Kluyveromyces lactis: one gene and its partner. The protein of the gene in region 1 interacts with the protein of each later gene in a pairwise test. Links are inferred from orthologs where the notes say so. Each region holds a gene or a part of one and is shown on either strand. Other genes may lie near its edges.

Evidence for each region.
Region 2: the proteins of PEX11 (region 1) and MCK1 interact in a protein complementation assay, tested with the Saccharomyces cerevisiae proteins (2 studies listed by BioGRID). The link is inferred for Kluyveromyces lactis from reciprocal best matches to the Saccharomyces cerevisiae genes PEX11 and MCK1.

What each region holds. Positions count from the first base shown.
Region 1 is NC_006041.1:177,000-179,695, forward strand, and holds PEX11 (Pex11p), read right to left. Parts: upstream 1,220-2,696; coding exon 515-1,219; downstream 1-514. Other genes in the region: DNA replication protein PSF3, read left to right, coding at 2,232-2,696. UniProt on the Saccharomyces cerevisiae protein: Involved in peroxisomal proliferation. Promotes peroxisome division and biogenesis.
Region 2 is NC_006041.1:672,026-675,119, reverse strand, and holds MCK1 (serine/threonine/tyrosine protein kinase MCK1), read left to right. Parts: upstream 1-1,332; coding exon 1,333-2,430; downstream 2,431-3,094. Other genes in the region: MRPS18 (mitochondrial 37S ribosomal protein YmS18), read right to left, coding at 1-110; VPS68 (Vps68p), read right to left, coding at 2,990-3,094. UniProt on the Saccharomyces cerevisiae protein: May be an autophosphorylating tyrosine kinase, a bifunctional (serine/tyrosine-specific) protein kinase, or a serine kinase that is a substrate for an associated tyrosine kinase.

The DNA.
Region 1 (2,696 bases):
TCAATTCTTTTGTCTTTTTAACAATCTGCTGTATTTCGAATACCAGATCAGATTAACAACCGGCTTTTCAATGAAAAGAACAGAATGAAATAATCCCAAAGCGATTAGTCTAAATTGAGGAATATCCACCTATAAAAATAGTGGTGATGTTATCCCGCAGAAGCAATGAATTACGAATAGAAGTGCAAGAGTAGCCGCGAATATGGTGCTCGCTTAATGTCCTCGATGAAATGGAATTTCAAGTAGTTTTCAACAATTTCAACTTTGAAGCCTGTCGAAAAGTGTAAACATCAACAAGTGCGGGTAACATTGGTATTAAAATGATGAAACAATGGTGATAGTATATCCTAATAGCTGCACAGACATCTAGTTAATACGGAGGCATCATCAGAAATTATCCCGGTACCAGCTGAAATTACAATTATCAACATATCGAGTAATATGTTAAGTTGAAAGAAGATACATATAAATATATATATATATATAAACTAAATTAAAGGGAAGGAGAAGTCCTTTAAGCAGTCTTCCAGACATCTTGTAGACCAAAGACGGATGTAGCGACACCAGCCAGGGCGACACTTGATTCGTCATTACGCAAGAATTGCAAGTTATTTAAGACAATGAAAGTATCGATAGAATCCCAGATTAGTCTTCTGAATGCGGCGAATCTCTCATTGTAGTAAGCGGTCAACTTTTCAGAACTAGCCTTTTCGGTTGGTGCATTGCCCTTAGAACTCAAAGAGGCTTCGATCTTTCTTTGAGAAGTGTACAACTTACGGACATCGGTGATCAAACCAGCGATCAACGCAACGAACCAAAACCAGTTTGTGTAACGAGGAACTTTCTTGGCAGTAATAGGAGTAGCTGGGATTAACTTTAGGATGCGCAACAAGTTAATTTGATCCAAAGTTAAATACCCAACATAACCCACATTTTTGATTATGGACAACCATCTAACCCATTGATCTGGAGCAATCTTGTTATCGTATAATTTGGCTGCGTCCTGGATATGATTCAATGGCTTGAAGAATCTCAAAATCTTTCTGACAGACGTGAATTCAGATTGTAACTGTCTATTCAAACCAGATCTGTATTGAACGGCAAGGAATCTAACCAAGTACTGTAGCAATCTCAAGATCTTTTCTCTGCCGGCTGTTTTATTCAACAAAGAAATGAATTTGGTCAACGTAGGATGATAAATAACTGTGTCTAAAACCATTTTTGTTTGTAAAACTTATAAGTTTAGATGTGGAAGATGACTCAGGATAACTGGCTCAGTATTTCAATTGATTTCTGAAGGAGGTAGAATATTGGAAACAGTATATTCAAACAAAGCACTAGAGAGAGATTGTATCGCAGGTGCAACGTATTTCAACAGAGTCTGATGAGATAGGAATACAAGGAGTAGTGAAAATGCTTAAAACTGCTTGTCTTTATTTTCAGCAGTCATTTTCTACTTTATATATAAATATATATATATATATATAAAGTGTGATGTTATACTTCATATGTCAATGGGCATAGATCAAAGCAGGGTCAACAGAAAATAGTCAGGCTCTACGGTAAAAGGAGAGGATTTCCACTTAGCAGCGAAACGTACTTTATTATCAACTTCTTTCGGGTCCCCCACAAAAAATGGGAGGGACAAGTCAGAGCTGCGAAGTTACTAGCACGGAAGATCCTGCTGTATTAAGGACATTTGTACCGGGGGAAGACATGCAACAATAGCAATCTTACTAGGTGAAGACTGGGATCCCGGGAAAAAGGGCGACATAATATTTAGTATGTAGGCGCACATTTTTACGTGTATTTCGGACCAAATGTCCTTCCGCTAACAGCTTGAAAAGGATGGCCCGATTTGTTCCGAAACTCGAGAAAAAAAAAAGGGACAACGAGAAAGCCATGTATGCGAATCGTGTACAGTGATATAATGACGATTTTGTAGTGTGCAAGCATCAATCACGTGATTTATATCATCGAGATGCATTTCCTCTCAACATCGCGAAACACGTAAAAAAGAATCGTTAACTAGCGAGCGATGTCTTCTGCTTTATAATACTGCGTTCTTTTCTATTGTTTACATTTAGAGCCATCAAGCCCAAACCTAAAATCATTTAAAGCATTTGTATATCTCATATTGAAGAAACGCCAAAAGTAAGATTACAATTCCAAATACCAGCCTATATTTTGCCGGTTCAGCTTCCTGAGAATCGCCTTAGATTTATGCCGAGATGGGATACTATGATATAGATGATATACTGGCTGATGGTACTAGATTTCCCTGTAGATTCAACTATGACGTTCCTGGGTTGGGTTATCTGGAGGGAAACCCAGGCAGACCAATATCGAAAAATGCAAAACTAGAGTTACCACTTTGGATGGTCCATCTTCTTGCTGTAGTGGGTGCGCAATCTAATGAAGATTCTAGAGTTGAAGAACCTCTTCCTTTTGTCGAATTGCTCCCGCCTGATTTATTCGCTCCAAGAGTACTAAACGCTATTAAATCTGGTGCTACTAGTCTCGATCTTCACTCAATTAGCCCTCATTTCTACACCCTGGCTGAGAAGTGGGCCACACTGTTCTCGGATAAAGAACTATCACAAGTCTTGAAAGATATGCTACTAGAAAGAGGTCAAGAGATCAATAACCACGCCATCAGTGTTAGTATGTTCTCAAACTGTAACCAAACTAATGAT
Region 2 (3,094 bases), about 500 kb from region 1:
TCCATCACTGGAGCCTTTTCTGATCCTTTGACAGATGAAAATAAGATGGAAGCCACATCTTGGTTTGTCCTGGCCGTTGAGCTGAACAGTCTCACTAATGTTCTCAGCATCGTGGTGTATTTTCGACGCCGATTTATATTAACCACAACCTGTGTCTTTCTCGAATGCAGGTCTCCATACTCAGACGAATAGTATTCCTCTATGAAATGCAAACTCTAAATATCTTCTGTTTTCCCAATTCATTTTCAAGATATGCTCATAAACCATTACCCGGTGTTGCATTAACACGTGACTAACTTGTCATTACCCGGTGTATAAGGATTAGCCTTTAATGTGAAGTGCCTGCAGTCCACTGGCGGAAGATATCACGTTGATAAAGAGTGCCGAGATGCGATGGGGTAAACATTTGATAGAAATATTATATGCAGACTGGCGAAGATCACCTCGCATTCCCCAAACCATTTCTACAACTTGATGCTACAATCAAGAGAAAGTTCAGGTGGAGGATATAGGACCTGAACCTGAGTAATTCCTCATTAATGCTATAAATGCCAATTTAACTTCGTTTGTGCATTCATATCTAGAGAGAGTGTAGTACTCTCAGAGTCGAACTTCATAAAAGCTGGCTCTGGGAGATCTTAGAATTAAATTTTGTTTGGAACGTTCCCTCAATTAGAACGTCTTTTATATCGCTTTTATCAATAATTGTGTAACTCAGTCAGTAGTCAGTCAGTCATATTGATATCAGATTCTTGGAAAACCGAATATGAAAATCAATTTTAGTTTTAGGAAATTAGGAAAAAACAAACAAAAAATAAACCAGAACCTTGTTTCAAAGTAACAAATAGGGTCTCTGATAACGGACACAACACTGCTAAGGGTGCTCAAACGTTTAAGTTCTGGGAACTTCTAGTTGTTGAATTTGCCGAGCGATTGCAGCGCGAAGAATTTACTGCGAAGAAACATTATAGACACTGCTGCATCACTTGTTGCAAGGGACTAATTGACTTGCTTGAGTAAGAGTGTTTTCCCCCTGTTGTGTTGCTTTTATTAATATTAGCGATTTCATTTCATCAATTCATTTAATACAGATTTTATTGATTCATTACAATTCAATATTTCCCTTTTTTTCCTGAACCATCCACGTTACATCCGTTAGGAACATATCTATATTCTAAGGTTTGCTTGCAAAATAACGGTTGAAGTTTGTAATTTGAAGACTTGAGCGAAATACAACGAACAAAAAGTGGTAATTTTTTTCTTATTCGATAGATATCGCATCGCTTTTGTATCTGTTACTATCTGTCTTCTTTCCCCTTATTGCGATTCGCCATGTCTATGCAAAGATTAGATGAATACGTGGCTCATGATGTCATCAGTAATAAATCCAATGTCAAGCGAGAAATGCTCGTAAAGGAATATAAGCGAATTGGGCAAGGTGCATTTGGCACGGTGGTGCAAGCTTACCTAACACCGGATAATCAGAAGTGGTTGGGTCCTTTTGCCATTAAGAAGGTTCCTGCTCAGACTGAGTATAAATCTAGAGAGTTAGAGATTTTACGAATTGCGGACCATCCAAATGTTGTCAAATTGGAATATTTCTACACTCATATCTCACCAACAGATCATAAATTATACCAACATTTGGCGATGGAATGCTTGCCCGAAATGCTACAAAACGAAATTTTACGATATAAGAAGAATAACTTGGAGTTACCGTTGAAGCACGTTAAACTATACGCCTACCAAATTGCTAGAGGTATGCTTTACCTACATGCACTAGGAATATGCCATAGAGACATAAAACCTTCAAACGTCTTGGTTGATCCACAAACGGGTATATTGAAGATTTGTGATTTTGGATCAGCGAAAAAGTTAGAATCGAACCAACCATCGATTAGTTACATCTGTTCAAGATATTATAGAGCTCCAGAATTGATTGTAGGATGTACACAATACACAACAAAGATAGATATTTGGGGATTAGGATGTGTATTGGGAGAAATGCTCTTAGGTAAAGCAGTATTCCAAGGCCATCAACCATTATTACAACTACATGAAATCACAAAATTACTCGGGCCTCCTGACAAAAGGTTCATCTTTTTTTCTAATCCATCGTACAATGGACCTTTATTCTCCAAGCCATTATTTGAAGGAGCTCCAAAAGCAAGATTCGAGAAATATTTCGGCTACGCTGGACCAGATGGTGTTGATTTGTTGATGAGTGTGTTGGTATACGAACCTGAAAGAAGAGCTTCTCCAAGAAGGATCCTTGCACATCCATTCTTTGATGATTTAAGAAATGAGCGCTATTTCTTCCCTAGCGGAAGTTCACAACCTAAACATTTACCTCCTCTTTATGACTTCTCTGATTTCGAATTGCAAGTCATTGGCGACCTTTTTCCAAAGATACAGCCAAAGCAAGATTGATTCTTGCCTCTTGACATTTTTTTCCTTTCTGTAATCCTTTGTATCAACTTCAATGCATTTCACAAGCTACGATAAACTATCTCAAGGACAGTCTTTCCGATGATTCTACGTCCTCTAAATCCAGTTCTCAGCATCATTGTTTTTCAATCCTGCTGTTTATCTTACCTTTAATCTTTTATTTTATTATTATTATTATTATTATTATTATTATTATTATTATTATTATTATTATTATTATTATTATTATTATTATTATTATTATTATTATTATTAATTCTACGCTCTTCTAATACATCGATATTCTTCATTCAGCACTCCAGGCTTAGCCCGTTACCAATTTATCGTACGTTACCGTTCATGCTAATTGTGTTCCAGAGATAATAAAATGAGACATGTACAACTCATAGAGGGGCTGTTGAGTCATAGGAATAATTGACCGTTTCTAATACGTTTTAAAATTGGGAAGGTATTTATACGTATACATGCAGAAGGCTATATCTGTACACTGTTCTTAAATACGGCAATCCAATATGATACTTCACGAAGTTTCATTGACACATCATAGAGTCAATGAATAGTTATATTCATCCTCCACATTTTGTCCAATCCATAACATGGTGCAACTTAGAAGAATAGCCAGGTTTGCAAGCACATTGTTAATTCC